Linked DNA regions of Lonchura striata. The protein of the gene in region 2 interacts with the protein of the main gene of each other region in a pairwise test. Links are inferred from orthologs where the notes say so. Each region holds a gene or a part of one and is shown on either strand. Other genes may lie near its edges.

Region 1 (7,089 bases), on a different chromosome or scaffold from region 2:
CCTGGCTGTCTCTGGCAGTGTCCCCGTACACGGGGCAAAGCTCTGCCACCCGAGTGGCAGCCAGTGGCACGGCAGGGCACACGGGGCCGGCCCCTGACCAGGGGTCACACAGACTCACAGGGTGAGGATCTCGTTCCACAGCAGCTCAGAGACCCCCATCTGCTTCCCCGTCTTCTTGGTCTCACTGGGCAGCCCGTCGCCAGCCACCTCCACATAGCAGTTCATCCGTGCTGAGCGGCTCTGGGCCTTGGGCTTCACGGACACCACTGGGCAGGGACGAGCACAGGTCAGGCCTGCGGGACACGCTGACCCCTGCCCCGTCCCTGCCCTGTCCCCCAGCCCGCCCCTGCCAGCTCGGGTGCCACACTCGCAGCAGAGCACTTGGAGAGGGGCAGCAGGGAGCAATGCTCCTGGTGGCAGCGATGGCTGGCATCAAGCCCTGAGCACGTCCCAGCCTCACCCCTCCGAGGGGACTGTCGCTGTCCCCACGGCCACCTCCCTGCCCCAGGGCAGGGGCAAGCCGGGCCGGGGCAGCGCCAGGGCGGCGGTGTGGCGGAGGGGCAGGGCGGGCTGCGGCTCCCCGGGGCGCGGCTCCGGGCGCCGGGAGCCATCTCGCGGCCACGGCAGCACCGGCACGGCCCCGGGCCCGCGGCCACCACCCCCGGGCCCTGCTCCCCGCGGGCAGAGCGGGACACGTTCCCGGCAGGGGCAATCCCGGAGGGGCAGCAGGACCCACCTTTCACAGACAGCGGGGACTTCTCGCAGGGCGGCCCGGCCCTGGCCCTGCTGGAGCTGGCAGCGGCCATGGCATCACCCCCGGCTGGAAAGGAGAAGGAGACACTCAGCCCCGCTCAGCCCCGCTGCCACGGCACCCAGGCACGGCCCGAGGCTGCTGCAGTGCCCGGAAAAGGGCTGGGCAAGACCCGGGGCACACAGGCTCCTCTCCTGATGAACCCCCCATGCCAAAGGCAGCGCTGTGTCCCTGGGAGAGCAGCCCCTGCATGGCAGTGCCACGGGCTGAGCTGGGCACTGCCACTCCAAACACCTCTCTGGGCACCTGAACCCCTGAGCCACAGCCCAGGGCTGCTGCGGGACAGAGCAGCCACCAAAGCCTTGCCCTGGGGGACACAGACTCAGCACACATGATGGCAGGGACACGGCAGTGCCGGGCAGACACGGCAGTGCCACGGGGACACGGCAGTGCCACGGGGACATGGCTGTGCCAGGACCAGCTGGACAGACAGAGGTCTAGTCACAGCATGAGGACCACAGACCTCAAGGGCAGCCCTGGCTTCATTAATCCCACAGGATCACTGAGGCTGGGAAAGGCCTCCAGCACCATCGTGGGACGCGTGGCCAGGGCGGGTACCCGAAGCAGCGAGCAGAGCGCAGGGATGAGCAGCCAGCTCCTCCTGCCGCTCCCAGGAGCTGCAGAGCACGGGAGCCAAGCTCCCAGCCCAGCCCAGAACCGCCCGGCCAGGCAGTGCCAGCCTCCCCTCCCCAACAGGGAAGCACGAAAACGGGGAAGCAGCTCCAGCCCCTCTCCCTGTGCAGGAGCCTCTTCCCTGCCCTCTCTCTTCATCCTCCTTGAACCGTCCCAAGCTCCATCCCAGGGCAGATCCCTGTGAAATCCCCTCTCCCAGGGTCACAGCAAACCTGCCTGGCAGCCCAGGGCCTGGCTGTGCCCTGTACAGCCCCCAGCTCTGCCTGCAGGTGCCCGCTGGGCACTGCCCGAGCACTGTCCTGGCTCCATCCAGCAGCAGCCAGCGTTCCCGGACACTGCCCAGCCTCCTGGGTCACTCGTCCCAGGGATCCCAGACCCACCCCAGGGATCCCAGACCCATCCCCGCTATCCCGGACCCATCCCAGCCATCCCGGACCCATCCCAGCCATCCCAGACCCATCCCAGCCATCCCAGACCCATCCCCGCTATCCCGGACCCATCCCAGCCATCCCGGACACATCCCCGTCATCCCGGCCCACGGCTCTCCCCGGGCTCCCGAGGATATCGGATCCTGCTGCTGCTCCCGTCCCCAGCTCCCCACTGCGGGGATTCCACCGGGGCCGTACCCAGCCCTGCCCCGCCGGGGCTCCCTGCCTCCCTCCTTGCCCTCCCGGCTCTTCCCCTTCCCCCGACTCCGCACTTCTCCGTCCCTCGCTGTGACAGCGCCGCTCTCGCCAGCACCTCCGGCTCCCGGACATCGCCCGGTGCCCGCTGCCGCTCCCCGGGCACCCCCAGCGCGGCGGGGCCGTGACCGGGCCGGCCCCGGGGCGCTCCCGCCCCCTCCGCCCGGCGGGATCCCCTCGGCCGGGCCGGGGCCGCCCTTCCTCCCGGGCTCCCCGTTCCGCCAGCCCGGCCCGGCCTCGGGACAGCCGCGGGGCCGCGCCCGGGCGGCCGACACCGAACCGGGACCGGGACCGGCCCCGCACAGAGCCGGGCCGGGCGCGGCAGGCACCGCGCACGGGAGGCGGCGGCGAAGGGGCTGCCCGCGGCCCCGCCGGTACCGGGCCGGGACCGGCACAGCTGAGCAGCTCCCGGCGGCCGGAGCGCCCCACCGGGCCGTGTCCGCCCGATGGACGGGAGCGCCCCAGGCTGGGCCGGGAAGCGAAACCGAGCCGAGCCCGTCCCGTCCCCGTTCCGGTTCCCGTCCCCATTCCGATTCCGTCCCGTTCCCGTTCCCTTTTCCGTTCCCGTTCCCGTCCCGGTCCCATCCCGTTCCCATTCCGATTCCGTCCCGTTCCCGTTCCCTTTTCCGTTCCCGTCCCCGGTCCCGGTTCCGGTCCCGGTCCCGTTCCCGTTCCCGTCCCGTTCCGTTCCCGGTCCCGTTCCCGTTCCCGTCCCCGTCCCCGTCCCCGTCCCCGTCCCCGTCCCGTTCCCGTCCCGGTCCCGTTACCGGCAGCCGCTCCTCTCCCGCTGCCCGGCTCCGGCTCCCGCCGTCATGTGACCCCGGCCCGTCACGTGACCGCGCCGGCCGGAAGCGCTCCCGCGGCGCGGCGCCGCTCCCGGCGTGCCCGGCCGAACTACAACTCCCGGCGTGCCCCGTGCCCGGACCACAACTCCCGGCGTGCCCCCCGCGGCGCCGCGACGGCGGCCGGGCCGGGCCACGGGGCGCGCGGACATGGCGCGTGTTCCGCACGTCGTGGCCGACACGGGCGCGTTCCTGAGCGCGGCCCCGCTGCAGGTACCGGGGACAGGGGGACAGCGGGGACACCGCGGGGACACCGCGGGGACACCGCGGGGACGGGGGTGGGGAGGGTGAGGGGCTGCGGGCCGGTGTGACGGCGCTGCCCGCAGGACGTGGCGGACGCGCTGTACACCGTGCCCGAGGTGCTGGCCGAGATCCGCGACCGGCGGGCGCGCCGCCGCCTGGCCGCGCTGCCCTGCGAGCTGCGGGTGCGCCGCCCGCGCCCCGACCTGCTGCGGCTCGGTGAGTGCGGCAGGGCCCGCCCGGCCCCTTCCCCGCCCGGCCCCTTCCCCGCCCGGCCCGGCCCGGCCTGACGGCGCCGCTGCTCCGCCCGCAGTGACCGAGTTCTCCAAGAAGACCGGGGACTACCCGAGCCTCTCGGCCGCCGACCTGCAGGTGCTCGCCCTCACCTGCCAGCTGCAGGCCGAGATCCACGGCCCCGGCAGCATCCGCTGGGAGCCGCAGGATAAGGTAGGATGGGCGCGGGGTCCCGGTTCCAGCGGGGCCCGGGCCCCAGTTCCAGCGGGACACGGAGCCCCGGTTCCAGCGGGGCCCGGGCCCCGGTTCCAGAGCCCCACCGACGGCCCGTGCCGCCCCCAGGTGCGGCTCAGCTCCACCCTGCGGCACCCCGAGGCTCCCCTGCACCTCGCCGGTTTCCACCTGCCCGCCAAGGTAAGGCCCGGCGGGAGGGCGAGCCCGGCCCCGCGGAGCCGCGGCTGAGCTCGCCCGTGTGTGCCCCCAGCACAAACCCGCGGGGAAGGGTCCCCGCCAGCCCGGCCCGGCCCCGGCCCCGGCCGAGAGCGACGAGTTCGGCTCCTTCCTGTACTGGCGGCCGCCCCTGCCCAGCATCGAGGAGGAGCTGCAGGAGCTGCTGGTGAGAACCTTCTGCAGTCTCGCTCTGCCTCTCTGCCGGGTCGTTCCGACCCTCCGGGCCGCCCTGACCATCTCCCCCCGCGGCCCAGGCCATCACCGGCAGCCCCGAGCCCCCCGAGGAGCGCCGGGGCCCTGCAGACGGGACCAGCGCCGGCGAAGAGGAGGAGGAGGAGGAGGAGGAGGAGGAGGATGAGGAGAGCGATGACGAAGGCTGGATAACTCCCAGCAACCTGAAGCAGGCCCAGCTGGACGCGGGGCACTGTGACACTGCTCCCGTCGGTGTCCAGGTGGGCTGTGTCACCACGGACTTTGCCATGCAGGTGGGTGCCGAGCTGCAGGGCTCTGGGACAGCTCCGTGTGTCACGCAGCAGGGTCTCAGTCCCAGAGGCCTTGCAGAGCCTGCAGGGCTCCGAGTGCCCCAGCTGCAGGTCCCAGCTGTGTCCCCGCTCTCGCAGAACGTGCTGCTGCAGATGGGTCTCCACGTGCTGGCCGTGAACGGGATGCTGATCCGCCGGGCCCGCAGCTACATCCTGCGCTGCCACGGCTGCTTCAGGTGCCAGGGCTGGGGCTGAGCCCGGGCTGAGCCTGTGTTCACGGCCCCAGGAGCTCTGAACCCCCCGTGCCCCCCTCGCAGGACCACCTCGGACATGACCAAGGTGTTCTGCCCCCACTGCGGTAACAAGACGCTCAAGAAGGTGGCAGTGAGCGTCAGCGACGACGGGAGTCTCCACATGCACTTCTCCCGCAACCCCAAGGTGCTGAACCCCCGGGGGCTCAGGGTGAGTACCTGGACAGAACCCCAGACTCGCTGAGGTTGGAAAGGACCAGCAAGAGCATCAAATCCAACTTGGGACTAATCCTCCCCTTGTCAGCCAGCCCTGAGCACTCAGTGCCAGGTCCAGTCATTTCCTTGCACGCCTCCCAGGATGGGGACCCCACCTCCTCCCTGGGCACCCCTTCCCACCTTGAACAACTCTTTCTGTGAAGGAATTCTTCCACTGGGATCCCAGGGATGGGAGCCCGGCCTGTGGCTGGCAGGCTGGAAGGAATCAAAGCAAACTGCTAACATCCTCCAGATGTTGCCCTTGGACCCCAGGGCTCTGGGGCTGGGGTCACCTGGGGTCCCCGGAGCCGGGGCTGACCCCGCTCTCCCGCAGTACCCGCTGCCGGCGCCGCAGGGCGGCAAGCACGCCAACAACCCGCACCTGGTGGAGGACCAGCGCTTCCCGCAGCAGCGCCTGTCCCGCAAGGCCCGGCAGAAAACCGACGTCTTCGACCCCGACTACCTGGCCGGGGCCTCCCCCTTCGCCGAGAACGACGTGCACAGCCGGGCCGCGCACCTGCAGCTGCGCGACGCCGCCCTGGGCGCCGGCCGCCGCCGCCTCAACCCCAACGCCGTCACCAAGAAGTTCGTGAGGAGGAGGTGAGGGCGGGACGGGCCCCGGGCACACCTGCCCAGGGCTGGTGCTGGCTCTGCCAGGGCCGCTCCCAGCACCTGGCACGGCTCAGGCCGTCCTGTCCCCGCTGCGCTGGTGCCCAGAGCCGCCGTGACGGGGGTGACGGGTTTGGGGAGGCCCCAGCACGGGGAGGGCGCGGGGGCTTCCCTGGGCACCCCCGGGCAGGGGCTGTGTCACCCAATAAACACCAAACCCCAAAGCACCGTGGCTCAGTCCCATTTCTGCGGCTGCCTGTGCCTTTCTCTGAGCCTCGAGGAAAAAGGAGGCTGGGACGGAGGGAGGGAGGAGTTCTTGGATCGTTTGTCCCACGGGATAATGAGCTACAGAAGGACAAAACCCCAGGGCAGGGGCTTGTGTCCCACCCTTGCACTGGGCGATGCCCATGGCTGAAGGGGGAAACTCTGGGATCTGCTGAAATCTTTCACAGCTGACTGTTGGTCCCGGCTCTTGCTGCAGTTTCTCCTTAGCCCTGCTGAAATTGTTCAAAATAAGGAAATGCCTGACAGCAGCTGTGGCCCCTGGTGCTGGGGAGGTCACAGGTTGGGAACAGCCAAGGGGAGCACAGCTGGGCCTCCCCAGCCCCAGGGCACTTCCAGGCTGCCAAAGCTGCAGATAAAGGGCACTGGGTAAGGCACGCTCACATCCTGCTGAGGATGGGGTCACTGCAGCATCTTGGCTTTGGACTCCTGGCCTCACCTCTCTGGGCAGACTGCCTCTCCCCCAGTCCCCAAAATGACATCCCAGGCTCTGGAAGCTGTTCCTTTGGGAACTGTTCCCTTGGTCACAAGCTGGGGGCTGGGTTGGGCAGCCCCCAGGGGTTACTGGGGTCCCACACCACCGAGTCAGTGTGGTTCCCCAGGACGTTCTCCTGCAGCAGCTGCAGCACCCCAGGCACGGCTCTGGAGATGCCCTTGGAAAAACCATCACAAGACTTTACAGTGTAAAATGAAAACTTTCATCGTTTATTCTCGACTGCAGCTGTTTACAGAAATATAGTTGCGAGTATACAAATGTCCCAATAGAAGCAAAATATTTTTTTTTTTAATATTCAACAAGTTATCACAGGAGAGCTAAAAACATAGATGCAAATAAAATATCCCCTCATAGACAAACTGAAAACACCGGGAATCAGTGCTTGGAAAACCCACCTACGAAAGCCATATACACAGAACTGCACGAAGGAGTATCTGGTGCTACTTTCACATTGCAGGACACAGAAGAGGCAGCTCAGCGGTCGAGGGTGCACCCAGAACTTCTGGCAGGCAGGGAGAGCCCACCTGAGGTGCAGGGACAGAGGTTGGAGCTCTGCTCTGCAGGGGTTGGAGCTTAACTCAGCATCAGCTCAGATGGAAATAATTCAAATTGCCTCCTTTTATCCAGAATAAAGAAGCCTCAGGAATGCTGCAGGCTGCTAAGGATACTGGATGGGGATCCCAGTTCTGCAACACCCAAAGAGCCACTTCCAAACAGGAACTTCCCTCTGGACACGTTTTCCCAACGGGCAGCTCCGTGGCAAAACAAAGCCAAGGCCTTTTCCCTGTCAGGTGAACACAGGAGCCCTCCCTAATCCCAGG
Region 2 (7,294 bases):
AATAGGCTGGTGGACTCCAGCAGCAGTGGGGAGCTGCTGCAGAGTCCCAGGACATTGTGCCAGAGCAGCTGGAAGTGTCAACCAAGGCCTGGTTGAACAGGGCTTGGAGTAACCTGGTCTGGAGGAAGGCATCCCTGCCCGTGGTAGGAGGAGGAATGAGATGGTCTTTAAGGTCCCTTCCAACCCAAACCAGTCTATAATTCTATCATGTATTGATCCCAGAGATTTGTACTCCACTGGTGGGACATCCAGCTCCACCCTTGGGGAAGCTGCCTGGGAGCTGCCTTGCAGATGAACCCACAGAAGGGGCACAGGGGACTTTGGCTGTGGCCTCCTGCGAGGAGAGAGACTCTGCAGGGAGGTGTGGCTGAACGGTACCACCTCTGCCTGAACTGCTGGAAGGTGTCAGCCTGAAACAAATGAGTAATTGTTGTTGCTGTTGGTATCAGATGACGTAGTTTACCCGCCGGCAAATCAGCTGAGAAGAGATGAGGCACTGAGTGAAGCAGGGAAATTATTTAGAAAGGTAATAAACCTGTGTAATATAAATATATTAAGGTAATGGATTTTATGTACACAGGAATACAGAATGGCTGTCAGTGGTGTAGGTAGCACGGGGAGCCCACCACGACAGTTCACATGTGTCTTTTTTCGTTCAAAGGAAACTTTAGAAACCTAAAGGTCAACTTGCACAAAGCTCTGCTGCTTTACTTCCCCCTCCATCACAGCCGCTCCGGTGCCTGCCCTTATGGGGCGGGGTGGGCTCACGCCAGTCACGCCCTCGCCAAACCAAGTAGGAGTGGGGGGAGAGATTGCAAACGCAAAAGAGAATTTGAGGGCGGAGAGACAGACTCATCTTGTCACAAGAGAGCAGGAGAGGCTCTGGGTGTCCCCGCGGTGCCGCCTGCCAGGCTCGCCCCTGTCCCCTGCAGCCGCGGGGCAGGTGGAAATGACCTGGAGGTACGAAGTGCCCCAGGGGAGCCGCGCCGCTGCCGCCGCCGGGAACGCGGCGTCAGCCACGGCCCGGGTGCGCCCAGGCATTTCCGCGCTGCCTCTCCCGGAGCAGCCCCGGCGCAGGGGAAACTGAGGCACGCTCAGGTGGGGCTGCGCCTCCTCCGTGTCAGCGTCCGCGTCTGGAAACTCCTGGAAAGACAAGAGGGGAACAAACAGAAGTGACAAGCAATGTCTGTGACTTAATGGTGGAGGCTTGTGCGTCTCGCACTTGCGGCCACAGCTGAGCCCTCCGTGGGCACATTTTCCCCACATGTGGCACCACTGACAGCTGCTCTGCCAGCACCTGTGCTTCCAGCTCGTCTGTGCTGCTGGCAAAGCCCGGCTCAGGTGCTGCTGAGAGGGAGTTTATTGATAATTTTTTTCCCTTTTAATAACTACTATGTTCTTTGTCAGAAAATTTCATGTTCCTTGAAGTTAGGGGAATGTGGTGACATCTGAAAGGAAAATTTTATTCTAGAGCTTGTCTTGACATTTTTCTTCTCTCTTTTTAAATTTCCCTTTTAATAAGGGGGAAGGGAAGCAGGGAGAGCACACAGAATGCAGAGGAAGTGAGATTTCCCACCACAACAACAAAACTCTTCAAAACATTTTTTTTTTTTAAGCAAAACAATAGTCAAAAATATCAGAAAGCAAACCATGGCAGTTTACTAAACATCCTTAGCTTACTTTTTTTTTAAACTGCTCTGAGTTTTAACTCCAATGAGTCCTCACACAAATAGATAAGAGGAATGGCTCTGGGGTGAGCAGGGAGGTAGGAATGTAAATACACGTTTTGACTGCAGTGAGTAAAATCCTCCTGAATATGGCATCACTGGGGGGATGATGGGCGCCCTGGCACTGCAGGCATTGTATACATTGAATTATAGAGTCACAGACTGGTTTGGGAACTTAAAGATCATCTCTCATTGCATCCCCTGCCATGGGCAGGGACACCTTACACTATATCCTAGGATGTTTCAATCTCTGTCCAGCCTGGCCTTGCACAATTCCAGGAATCCAGGGGCAGCCACAGCTCCTCTGGGGGACCTGTGCCAGGGCCTCATCTCCTCTGGGGAACCTGTGCCAGGGCCTCACCTTCCCCTAAGAAGGATTTTTCTTCCTAACATCCAATCTAACCCTGCTCTCTGTCAGTTTAAAACCACTGTCCCTTGTCTTGTCACTACCTAGCCATATAAAAAGTCCCTCTCTTTCCATTTTTTAAAGCCTCCTTAAGATACTAGAAGGCTGTAATGGAGTCTCCCTGAAACCTTTTCTTCTCCATGCTTCAATTATATCAATCCAGTTACATTTTACAGACTGCTCTACCCAGTGTAGCTGTGATCCAGGGGATGGAGCTGTCCTGTGGCATTGCTGCTGGCCATGGCATGACGAGGGACTCTGTGTATCTTAGCACAAATCCTTGCAGAACTGAAGCTGTGCCTGGGTGCTTTTGTTCAGCTCCTGATGCAGGAATCCTTTTTACTCACGTTGTGACCTTGGGCGAGCAACTTTGCTGTGCTTAAAATTATCTTCTCTGCAAACAAAGTGCATAAATCTCCATGTCAGGTGAAGCTGCAGCATGGCACAAGGGGCTTGGGTTTGGTGAAGGGTTTTTCCACCCTGAGTTGTCACATGTGTGGTGTCCCTCTTGGGCAAGGGTGCCAGTGCTGCCCCAGAGATGGTGTAGCCCTAATTGTGCCTCAAAGCATGATCCTTTGGCTACTTTCCATGGGGAAAAAGGGTTCAGTAAAATCTGCTGTAGCTCAGGGTGTTTTCAACCCCCCTCTCTTCTCCTAATTTGCTTGGTTTTGCTGGCAGAGCTAAATAGGGGCTGCAGAGACTGATGAAAGAGGCTGCAGGCTCGTCTTACAAAATAAAAAGGCTGGAGCAAATTGGCGTGCCTAGCCTGGGAAAACAGAAGCTAAGGGCAGCACAAGGAGAGCGGTGTGCGGACGGATCCCAGGGTACGCCCTGCGGGAGGAGATGAGCTGCAGAAAGCCTTGGCACAAGACTGTTGTGTGTCTGTAGCCTGTGACTACACGCAGCCTGGAAACCAGAGGAGGAGGGAGGCCCTGGAAAGGCTTCCCAGCAGGAGCCCTGTGTGCCTGGAGCACACGAACTCCTTTGGTACCTTGTGAGGGTTTTCAGGTTGCCAGAGCCACCACAAGGCAGCACGGAGAGTCCCACAGCCCCACATCCCCAGGCTGGTGTCACTGTGGGGCCGTGGGAGGATGTCTGTCTGTCCAGCCAGGTCTGGGCTGGGTGTGCTCTGCAGATAAACAGCTCCTTTTACACTTATTCATTCTGCCTGTGTACACAGCCTGCTCGCCAGCGGCCGGGAGGTGCCTTTTCCTGGCGCTGCCTTTGGTGTGGGTTTTACAGATGGTTTTTATTCAATCAGGCAGAGATGAGGGGAGAACATGGCAAATGTATGAAGTGCGCTGGTCATCCCTGGCTTCCTGGAACACTCTGACCTTCACCCACTGATCCACAGAGAGTACGGGGTCATCAATGACTCTTCAGCCCCAGTCCCAGTTTGTTGTCAGGTCCCTTGTATTTGCCTCTTACAGGACACTTAAAGCAACTGGGGTCATACAAACAGGAGCAGGGAGAGGTGACAGCTGGGGCTGGAGAATTACAGGGAGGAAATGAGATTAGAGGGAGCAGGGATCACCAGGAGGCAAGACGGCCCTGTGTTGGGCAGTCAGCTCCTTCCCCCAGAGCCCGACCCCACAACCACTCCTTTCCCCCAGAGCCCGACCCCACAACCACTCCTTTCCCCCAGAGCCCGACCCCACAACCACTCCTTTCCCTCACATCCGACCCCACAACCCCTTCTTTCCCTCAGAGCCTGCCCCAACCACTTCTCTCCCTCAGAGCCCAGCCCCACAGTGGCTCCTTTCCCTCCCAGCCTGACCCCACAACCTGCTCCTTCCCTCAGAGCAGTCAGGGACCCACCATTCTCTTTCCCTCACAGCTCAGCCCCACAATCTGCTCCTTCCCTCCCAGCCTGACCTCACAGGCAATCCCTTCCCTCCCAGCACAGCCCAGCCCCTGAAGCTGCCCTTTCCTCCACGGCTCCTTCCCTTCTAATAGTCAGGGCTGCATCAGCTACCCCTTACTCCATAGCCCGACCCTGCAGCAATGAGGGGTCCATCAGCTACCCTTCCCTCACAGCCTGGCCGCACAATTGCCCCGTTCCCCGGGCACTCGGCACCCCCGCACTCGCGGCGCCGGGCCCGCCCCGCTCCCTCAGCGCGGCCGGGGCGGGGCGGGCCGGGGCGGTCCCGCCCGCCGGGGCCGGCACAGCGCGGGCCGCAGGTGCGAGCGGAGCGGAGCGGAGCGGAGCGGCCGGGCCGGCGCGGCCATGGGCAAGGTGCAGCTCTTCGAGATCCGCCTGGGCGACAGCCGCGTCGTCTACAGCCCCGGCGAGCCGCTGGCCGGCACCGTCACCGTGCGGCTCTCGGGCTCGCTGCAGTACCGAGGTGAGCCCGCGGCCTGCCGTGCCCCGCGGGGCGGATATCCCGGGGAGGGGCTCGCGGGCTGCCCCGGCCCGCGGCCGGGCTTCCTCCCCCGGCTCTGCGGACCGGCGGCTCCGGGGCTGCCCCATCGCTGCCGCCCCCGCTGCCATGCGGCGGCCGGGAGGGGCTGATGGGAGCAACCTGCTGGATTATTTCCTCCTTCCTCCGCTTCCTCCTCTTACTTTTTGCTCCTATCCCATAAAATAAGGAAACATCCTCCCAACCCCCTTCCCACAACGCCCCAGCGCGGGGCTGTGCCACGGCAGCCTCCGGAGCTGGCGGGTGCCCAGGGTGGCAGCGGGAGGTGGCGGAGGGGCTCGCCCGTCTCGTTCGGCTTTCCCGGAGTCCTGCGGCTTCCCAGGGCTGCCGGCATCGCCCCGGCACAGCCCCGAGCCTGGTGCCCTGGGTCGGACGGACGCGAATGTGTTGGGCAGGGAACTGGGCGGAGGTGGGCGATGCCGTGTCCCGGCAGGAGCGGCACCCACCCACCGGCTCGCAGGCACCGTCCGCAGCCAGCAGCCGTGTTGTAACGTCTCGAATGAACTGGGGCATTGGAGTTGTGGCTCTGCGAGTGTGGGAGATGTCCGCGGTGTGTACGAGGTCCTGTGAGTGCCAGCAGTGGTCTGGAGCAGGAGTTGTTGTTGCTCCACGCAAGGCTCAGGCCATGCTCGTGGCTGGTGCAGTCCGTCGGAGCAGAGGGATGGGGCTGGACTGCAGGGAAATGAGCTGGCTGGGCTCGGATCATCCAAACTGGGAGCTTCCTCCCCCGCCTGAGAGAAGTCATTCGCATTTGCAAGTCAGCTTTGTGCTCAGTGCTGTGGAAATGTGAACCAATTTGCTGTTTTCCCTGAGGTCTTGCTTGCTTCTCGTGTGTGCATGCTGCTTCCTTTGTAACAAATTATTGGAGGGGGGAAAAAAGACCAAGTAATGTAAAATGTGAAGTCTCTGTTCAAGAGCTGTCAGCCTGGATGATGGTGCCTCTGCCTGCCGGTGCCTTGCTTTTGAGAGCACCTCTCCCAGTTGTCTGCAATAGCTTTTGGAAGCTTCTTGTGGAAAAAAAAAGTATCTAGGACAAGTGTAAACTTGTAGCCTGTTAAACTCCTGTCAGAGCAAAACAGTCGCAGATCCAGCGTTTATCTCCTTGGAGAATACTCCTGGATGCACTTCCAGCAAAGATGTTCCTAATGAAGTCTGGCTGACTTCCCTCGGCCCATCCCATTGACTTCCATCCATTCCTGAAGGTGCTTCTTGGGAGGGATGAGAGTTTGGCCTTAGAGGGTTTGGTGTGCTGGCCCTTTGTGCTGCCAGCTGGCCAAAACTACTTGCTGCTGCCTCTACAACTCCCATTTGAGGAGGACCTGCCAGGTTCTATTCTACACCAGCTCTCCTCTGCTTCCTGGTGTTGTTGTAGGGAAGGAGAAAGGCTTCTCTTTGTTCTAGACCTCCTTTCTGCATCCTTATTGCCTTGATTCGGAGAAGTATCAGGGTCTGGTGTTAAGTACAGGTCCTGAACTCAGGAGGGGTTTTGCTGTGGGATCTGGTGTTTGGGGCTAGTGCAGGGATTCTGGTAAGAGCTGGGTAAGAGCTCTAGGAAAGCTGTCAGATGCATTGAGCCGAAATCTGATGTGGGCTCCATGTGATTGATGCTTCTGTTGTGCTGAGATCACTGAGCAGCTCTTCTAGACTGTTTCATGTACAGTGGCTTCATGAGCTGGGCTAGAAACTTTCCATTACTGGTGTCAGAACTCACCCAGTTAAGTCACATTTGGGTGTGAAACCAACTTCTGCCAAGCACAGGGTGACACTTTGCTGTGTGTTCTCCCTCCTGCTGGTGCTTAAACCTTCCATACTTCATTTCTTGGGCACCCTCTCCTTCTTCCTGGATGAAGGAAGTGTCCCACCCTCAGAGGAAGAGGTTCCTGTAGCTGCTTGAAACATCCTTTTGCTGTAACAGCAAAAGAGATCTTAAAGAGACTTGTGAGCCCTGTTGAGCACTGTGGGCTCGGCACTAGAGGGATCAGACAACCTGACATCCTCTGGCTTCCTACTGGGCTGTGAGGAGAGCTGTGTGGAATCAACTCATTTTACATTGTATATGCCCCCCCACACCTTCTGTGGCCAACTGTGACTTTCCAGGCTAATAAACTGCTTCCAGGAGAAGACACAAAGTCTCACCCCTGGCAGGTCTGGCCCTCAGCACCACGATTTGGTGCTTTCCATTTCCTGAGCCAGGCGAGTCTGGCGCGGTGACTTCTCGGTGCTGTGGTGTGTGAGATCACAGCCGGAACCAGCCTGGAGGTGACTCCTCACACGGTAACTTCTGGCTCTTGCAAATTACACCTTCTGAAAGGTGACAGTGCAAACAAACACAGCTCGTTGTGCCTTGCTAAACACGGGGGAAATCTTGGGTCATGGGGCAGCGTAGCTGGGGACACACCTTTTTGGGATCATTGATGTTCCCACTTAGACTGGCGTCAGTGCCAGCCCTGCTGACTGGCACTGAGGGCTGTTCTGGAGCACATCTTCTTCAGCTGACCTTGCAGCAGCATCACAAATACTGACTGGTCCTTGGTGACTCATGTGGACCTTCTGAGGAGCCACATTTCTTCCTGTGCCTGTGCCAGGGTGAGGGACCTGCCCAGAAAACTTCTGAGCCTCAGGGGAGAGCGCTGATGGAAATGGAGAATTCCTGATCATTGTGCCTGGTTTGCTGGGTAAATCATCAAACGTGTGTGCACAAAGAATAATTAATCTTACAGGAAGCTTGCGCAGGGACAGCT
Region 3 (7,589 bases), on a different chromosome or scaffold from region 2:
TAGCTCAGGCGGGTGGGTGGAAGGCAGAAACTATCCGTTCCTAAACAGGAGGAGTAAAATAAAACTTTTTTTTAATAACAGCAACGTGCTGCCAAGTTTGAAAAACTATTTGAATAACCAGCACAACAAGATGTGGTATCATGTTTCCTCAGAGGGGAGAAAAAAACCCTGCTGTGCTTTGGTATAGTAAAAGCAGAAATTCCAGGCATAACTTGAGAGCTGGTCTTTTGAAACAGGGCCTTGGCTTCTTCAAAACACTCTTTTCCAGTTTGCTGCAATACTTTCATTTCTATTATGTGTAATTTGCAATTCTCATGAAGAAAAATTATCAATCCTTCAGCTCCAGCAACTCTGCACTACAGTGTAACCTAAATGTCATCAACTTAGAGACTCTAATTGACCAAGTCTCTGTTGCTTTAGTCTTCAGAGAGAAGACTCTCACCAAAATGTGCACACAGATTTAGCTCAGCTAACAGTACAACCAAGCCAAAGAAGGACTGCCTACAGTCTTTAAAAATACTCAAGTTATGAGACAGTAAAACTAAATTTCCAGAATACTCCCAAGCTAGACTATAATCATGACTTGTCTACGTCCTCTTCTGAGGAAAGCACTCACTTCAAAATGCTTCTGCAGCTGGGCAAAGTACAGTTACAGTAAGGAGCTGTGGCCAACACTCCTCTGGGTTATGCACACACCTTCACTTTCCTCAGCTGTGAGGGCACAAAGAAGTTCCTGCAATTACATGTAAGTACAGTAGAATGATAAAAACTAGAACATTACACAAACATAAGCGGACACCCAAAGAGAAAAGCTTAAAAATAAACTCCCAGAAGCTTAATTGTTTCCATGTGCAAGGGCTTTTTCTGTTACTCTCACCCTGCAGACTCTTTTCCTTGCTTTTAAGAAGAAATCAAATTGGTTTTACTGCTTGAAAAGTACTTCACTATGGCTGAATATATTTATCACTTTGTTTAAACAGCTTAAACTCACAAAATATGTTTATTTAGACACTATAATTGACTGATACTGATAATGCTGCTGCCAAGCATCTCTTTCACATGTTGTAAAATAGAAGGAAATTACTTTGTAAATCTCTCATGAAACATTTTTCAAGCAGTCTATGACAAGCTCTCTTAAAAAAAAATTATAAATTTAATCTCCTCAAGACAAACACTATGCTACTTTACTGCCTTTCTTCCTATTACCTTATGCTGTAGTTTTCCCCAAACCATTTTGAAACTTTAAAACAAAGAAATAAGGTAATTCATGTTTCAGGTCTGTGTCACAACACAAGAAATATAACTTTAAGAAGGGAGAGAAAACTGATGGAAGAAAAAGAGGTGATGCTGCTTAATTAATAAATTAATATAAATAATCTCCTCTCAATTTCTCTTAAGCCCCAAAATAACTTTAATCTGTAAGAAGCTTTTAAAGTTAGCACTCAGAAGTCTCAGTTATTTTCCATTCCAAAATTATCTTTCACATCTACTGTTGTTGTTTCAAAGACAAGAAAACTCACTTTGGGTCTGAATGCTACATATTATTCCAAAGATCATTTGGAGGTGAATGGATTCAGTATAGTGATTAAATGCCACCTAAATCACAACTAAGAATGCACACTAGTCACAGTCCAGACTTAAACAGCTGTAGTGAATAGCAAGGTAATTGTAATTAAATTACAACTGCTTTGGACTTTCACTTCAAGAAAACAGGAAAGAATTTACTGTTTTTTCCAACAATACATTTTTAAGCATTAAAAGATGAACCTTAGATGGCCTGTGATTCATGTTTCATTCTTAAACACCTGTGCCTTTTCTCAGGTAAATACAAGCAATTGCTGAATCTACTGTCACTCCCTCAGCAGAGAATGCCTTCTTTCAAATACCAGTCCAAATGTCTCTCCACTTCTCTTTGGAAAGGTTGACAGGCAGGGTAACAGAGACTAAACAAAACATTGAGAAACTCATGGCAATAAGCAGCCATATATTGGGAAAAGACAGTCTAAAATATCCCGGTTTCTGACTTCTTCAATTCTAACTAGGCTATAAAGGTAAGTTTTGCCAGGGATATTTCCTGAAGCATCAAGGGATAAGGCTGCCACAACACAGGTATCCCAAAAGCTACACCTGCCCCTTTCTCTGCATCACACACAGATCAGAAGGTCTTCTGACAATTTAACATCACAAATTATAGCAATTAAAACAAGCTGAATTCTCTAATATTAGAGCAAATTAGAGAAATCCATCCTCGAACACCTTTGTCTGCTTTTATCTCGACAGCATTGGCACACAAGGTCAAAGATAACCGGCGTGGCAGCGGAAGAGTTAACAGCCAGAACTTGTCCGCGTTTCCAAAATAGAGCGGTGGCACTAACGTTGCCATTCTGCCGTGTTTACAAGAGGGAACACAGTTCGGGATAAACCTCTGGCTGTAGTCACGCTTTATCGCCAGGACACATTCCTCCAATGTCCGGCTTACCCGGCCGAGATAAAGACACGGAACGCCCGGACACCTGGAAGAAGCCCCGCGACAGGGGGGACGCACACCGGGGAAGGAGGCTGTGCTGGAAGAGCTGCGGAAAGCACAGCCCTGAACGGAGCGAGCCTCCGGAAAGGATTCGGAACTGGAGGCACCGGGGTGCGGGCAGGTGCCCCCGGCAGCCGCGGCCGGGCGGTGGGGCAGACAGCGCGGGGGTCCCGGCAGGGCGCTGCGCCGCCCCGCGCCGGGCGCTGCCCCGCGGGGCCCGGGCACAGAGCGGCGGGTCCGCCCTCAGCGAGCCCCTCCCGGGCCGAGCGGCCCCTCCGGATCCGGGCCCGACCGCGGTGTCCCCGCGTCCCCCGTGTCTCCCCGCCGCGTCCCGTCACCAGCGCTACCCCCGTGCCTCCACCTCCCGGCCCCGCTCCGCTCACCGGCCGCGGCTCCCCCGTCCCTCAGGTCCAAGATGGCAGCGCGGCCCGCCCGGCCTCCGGCAGCGACTTAGCAAAGTCGGGCGCGATGTGCGCAGGCGCCGAGTCCCCCGGCTGCTGCGCAAGGACTACAACTCCCACCGTGCCCTGCGCCATGCATTGCGCATGCTCGGCGCGGGCCACAGGGAGTGACCGGCAGGGACCGTGAGGGACAATGAGAGGCCGTGAAATTCACGGCGACGAGTAGAATTCCATATCCTCTGGAGCCAGCCTGGGAGGGCTGGAGGTGTTCATCCGGGGAAGAGAAAGCTCCAGGGAAAACTCAGAGCGCCTTCTGAGTGCCGGAAGGGGCTTCGAGGGAGCTGGAGAGGGATTTTGAATAAGGGGAGTGACAGGACAAGGGACAATGGCTTCTGTTATAAATGAGAATTTATTCAGCCAGATTAAAAATAAAAATCATTTTATTTGCGGTCAAATTCTATTTAGTCAGCCACACGGAAAGGACAGAGCCGAGCCCGGGATCGACCCTGGATGTGCAACAAGGAGTCAGCCTCAGCAGAGGTTTTCCCCTATGCCCACACACTTCCATCCTGGCACAGGCGGTTTTTATAGGGAAAATTCCACCTGAGGCCAAGATTTGAGCAGTTAGTCTTTTCTTCTATTCAGAGTCTATAGGTTTTCTTTTTTTTGGTGATGAGGAGAAATAATTCAATGTCCAGAGTAGTTGAATTCTTGATGAGAGTTTACGGGAAGGCTGCATTCACATGAATCTGTCTGAGGATTTCCATGATATCCATCTTGGACGATCAGCACTGATGATAGTGATGATCAACACCTGGAGCCCAGACATGGCCCATCTCCTGGCCGAGCCACATCCTTTTACTGGTAAATCAGTTTCCAATATACACCCAGTCTGGCCTGCAAAGGGGGGGCGGGGGGGAGCTAATACAACGGGCATGATTTAACAAATATCCAATATTACATATTTCATACGAGGAATGGTGCGAATTATATTTATTACACATAACAGCTTCCCACTGCCGAAGGTCAGGTTTAGATGGAATATTGAGAAGAAATTCTTCGCTGTGAGGATGCTGAAGTCCTGGCACAGGGTGCTCAGAGGAGCTGTGGCTGGAAGTGTCCAAGGCACTGTTGGACAGGGCTTGGAGCAGCCTTGGACAGTGGAAGGTGTCCCTGCCCATGGCAGGGGTGGAAGATCCGGTGCCTCCAGTTCCGAATCCTTTCTGGAGGATCGCCCAAATCATTCCATGAATCTATGATTCCGTAAACAGAGTGTATATGTATGTGTGTGTATATTTTACTACAGTAAAAATCTTGGATAATCAAAGCACCCCTGAGGGCTTGGCTGGTACAGGAACACCTTGAGGAACCCATGGCCATCACTGGCCCTACGTTTCTGCAGTGACACCAGTAATGGGAAATCTCTGAGACCACAAAGGGACATCCTGCAAGCATGAGTCTATAACAGTCAAGCAACTGGGACATCACTGCTGTCACTGTGGGCATTGGGACACAAAACAAAGCCCTTTGAAAATAAAGTAACATTTGTGATTTTAAAGTGTCTGCTTCAGGTGCTTAAACCATTGATATTATTTAGCCTTACATAAAATCCTTCTTGTTTCAAGTGTATTTTTTCTTAGCCTGAACGCACTATTGCATAAGTGAATGCATAGAAATTACAATACACTTCCTCTTTTGACAGTGAGGAATGAGAGAGTCTATGTTCTGAAATCAGAGGAAAGAATATCCAGTCTTCAGAGAGTAGGAGAATATCCTCAATAATTCTTCAGAAAAATTATGCACTTTGCCAGTGCAAAGTTTAGCATTTTCTTAAAACTGGTAGGATGTGAAAATCCATCTTGTCTTCCACACATAAACTCCAATAATATCTCACAGCCACAATTAAGTGACTGCTTCTGTTGATAAGGCCTAAGCACAAAAACGTCTCGAACTGTTTCCCTGACAGACCAACACGTGTTTTGATGCCAATCAGCCATCTATGGTTCTGACTGGCCAAGGTACATGTGCACATCACTTCAGGCACAGAAATCACTTTAATTCCAGCACAGAACAATGTGTGCTGCTCAGCTAGAGGCTGAGTATGGAAAAATCAGGAGCATTGCGGCTTTGTCAGAGGTGGGAATTCATGGGAAGCAAGTTTGGAGCCAAGGTTACAGCCCAGTATAATGATAAGCAAATTGATCAGCTGAAATAAGGACTAGATTTTTGTATTTTCTCTAAACCTTTTCTATGCATCTTTAAGTCTCTATGTTCCTTTAGAGATATTTGACCATGTAGACATACATTTAAAGTTCCATAGTTAATGTTCTGTTCAAATTAATAATGATAAAAATGAGTTCTAAAAGCCTTGCTTAACAGAGATTTCTGTCTCATGCATCACCTACATAAACAGTGGTCTCTCATCCAGTTCCTGTCCTGGCCAGTGACACTCTGGCTGACTGCAGCTGGAGTTCCAAAGCTGGGCATCCTTTGTGGTGGGTTTGTTGTCTCCCAGCTGGCACATAACTCTGGTTTTGCAGATTGCCTGTGGTTTGATTCCCAATGGTGGGACCATTGCACTGTACCTTTCTCTCCAGCCGCCTGGGTTAATTTTTCCTTTAGCAGAATTGAGTGTTTGCAGGAAGAAGCCGGATGCTGCCCCAAGGACACATCCCTGTAGCCCCTGTAGGATCCAGCAGGGGTGCATGTACCCATCCCCAGGGCAGTGTGACCATTTGCAGTTTCTTTTTGTTGTACTTGGTTTTGGTAGGTGAAGGTTGCTAAAGCAGGTATGAATAACACTCAGTGTCTGTTTTTAAGAACATCACATCAGTTGTCCTCTGAGTTACTATCTTCCCCCTCCTTTTCCAACTGGCATTTCAGATAAAGTTCTTTTTTTCAACCTCGGCAGCCCTACTCTCTTTGTTTTCCAGCTTCTGATGCCCCCAGTTAAGTTCCATTTGTTCCATCTGCTCTGTAAAATTCATGAGAAAAAGACTGTATTCCAGATGCAGACTACTGATCAGTTTGTGCTTTCCAGGACAAGAGGAATGCAGAGCAATTGTCACATTCACACTGTTTCAGATATCATTTGCCTGAGTAAAAATCATGGCCTGTGAATCAGTGAACTGGAAGACCAAATAAATAATTACCACAGAATACGTGGTGAATGAAGATGAATATAATTGGGTGGCAGAAAAACTATGTATCCAAGATTTACCTTTGGGGAGAAGAGTATAATGCTTCATTATTGTCTTTTTTCCCCCTATGCTTTTTATAACTACAAGATACTCAGGCAGGATGGAATTTTCTTGCTATTACTGTCATAGCTTTCTTTTGACAAGTACAAACCCCAACAGATAGGGAACCTTCCTGGAGGATGATCTTGTGCAAAGGCTTGTCAGGAAAACTGAATGCTTAGTAGCTTTCCACACTTGCTGGGTTTGATATGGTGAAGCTGTGCTTCTGGGAGATAATTTCTGAGAAATAATATTTAATAATTTTCATAATATTTTTCTTTTATTTCTCAGTCCAGTCCAGACTGGTCAATGGGATTTGTACTTGTGGCAAAATATGTGTAGTGTTTATTCTTTGTTGGGCTATTGTAAATAATAATATTCACATCTCTAATGGAAACTTACCCTGTTGTAAGAGAACTGCCACACTCACTGAGTGCTGTTCGTGCTGAGAGCTGACTGGGAAGCCACTGAGGATAAGGGTCTGTGTGGCAGAGTGGTGTAAATGATTTCCATGTTTGAACCTTTTGTGTAATAATAAAAATAAAATTGTGTAATAATTGTGTAATAATAAAAATAATTTGTGTAATAATAAAAATAAAAAATGCAAGATCATTAAAATATTGGGATTCTGTTTGATTTTTGAGCAGAAGTCTAAATGGACATTGCTTTCTGATACCTGTGGGCCTTAGGTTCCTTCAGCTAAAGGGCTGGGACAAGGCTGTGTAACAGAAGCACTGAACATTCTTATTATTCTCCTATCCCTAGAGTACAGGATTCCCTCTCCTAAAACAGACCCCACCTTCATTCCCTTTGTTTTCCACTCAGCCAACTCTATTGACCTCACACAAGACAAACCTCTTCTTTCCAATGTTACATATTTTCCTAAGGGTTGCACAGCAAGTCTCTTGTCAAACTTGGAAACAGGGCTGGGTTTCTTAGCTCCTTTACAAATGTTTAATGATTTTTTAGTTAAGTGGTATGAGGGTTTTTGTTGTTGTTGTTTTGGTTTGGTTTGGTTTTTGTGTGAGGCACACAAAAATCCTGACAGAATCACTTAAATACAAAATAATTCAGGTAGGAAGGAAGCTTTGGAGGCCTCTAGATCCATCCCATGCTTGAACCAGAACCAACTTAGATAATGCAGAATAGGTCAGAGATAAATACCTTCAAGGCTGGAGATCGCACAGCCCCTTTGTGCCCTAGTCCAGTGTATGATGCCCCTTAGTCCATTTTATTTCCTTATATTTGTGATTTCACAGCTCTGCAAAGAGTATAGCTTATCCTCCTCACACCTTCCCAGCAGGCAGTTTTAGGCAGCTGTAAAGCATCCCTTTGCCTTCTCTTCTCCAGGCTGAACAAATTCAGCTCTCTCAGCAGCTGCTCATGGGTGAAAAGTGCATATTATATGATTGGCTCATTGCA

What was found. The genes of interacting proteins can lie anywhere in the genome.
Region 1: the proteins of ARRDC1 (region 2) and WWP2 interact in binary tests that used the Homo sapiens proteins (3 or more experiments, as listed by UniProt). The link is inferred for Lonchura striata from reciprocal best matches to the Homo sapiens genes ARRDC1 and WWP2.
Region 3: the proteins of ARRDC1 (region 2) and ITCH interact in binary tests that used the Homo sapiens proteins (3 or more experiments, as listed by UniProt). The link is inferred for Lonchura striata from reciprocal best matches to the Homo sapiens genes ARRDC1 and ITCH.

Annotation. Positions count from the first base shown.
Region 1 is NC_134615.1:23,108,431-23,115,519, reverse strand, and holds the start of WWP2 (NEDD4-like E3 ubiquitin-protein ligase WWP2), read right to left. Parts: upstream 3,008-7,089; 5' UTR 2,895-3,007; intron 821-2,894; 5' UTR 807-820; coding exon 737-806; intron 267-736; coding exon 119-266; intron 1-118. Other genes in the region: RNA-binding protein NOB1, read left to right, coding at 3,120-3,182, 3,296-3,428, 3,523-3,656, 3,786-3,857, 3,928-4,059, 4,148-4,378, 4,514-4,611, 4,693-4,837 and 1 more. UniProt on the Homo sapiens protein: E3 ubiquitin-protein ligase which accepts ubiquitin from an E2 ubiquitin-conjugating enzyme in the form of a thioester and then directly transfers the ubiquitin to targeted substrates.
Region 2 is NC_134624.1:4,150,801-4,158,094, reverse strand, and holds the start of ARRDC1 (arrestin domain-containing protein 1), read left to right. Parts: upstream 1-4,285; 5' UTR 4,286-4,360; coding exon 4,361-4,478; intron 4,479-7,294. UniProt on the Homo sapiens protein: Functions as an adapter recruiting ubiquitin-protein ligases to their specific substrates. Through an ubiquitination-dependent mechanism plays for instance a role in the incorporation of SLC11A2 into extracellular vesicles.
Region 3 is NC_134619.1:13,573,462-13,581,050, forward strand, and holds the start of ITCH (E3 ubiquitin-protein ligase Itchy homolog), read right to left. Parts: upstream 3,008-7,589; 5' UTR 2,911-3,007; intron 1-2,910. UniProt on the Homo sapiens protein: Acts as an Acts as an E3 ubiquitin-protein ligase which accepts ubiquitin from an E2 ubiquitin-conjugating enzyme in the form of a thioester and then directly transfers the ubiquitin to targeted substrates.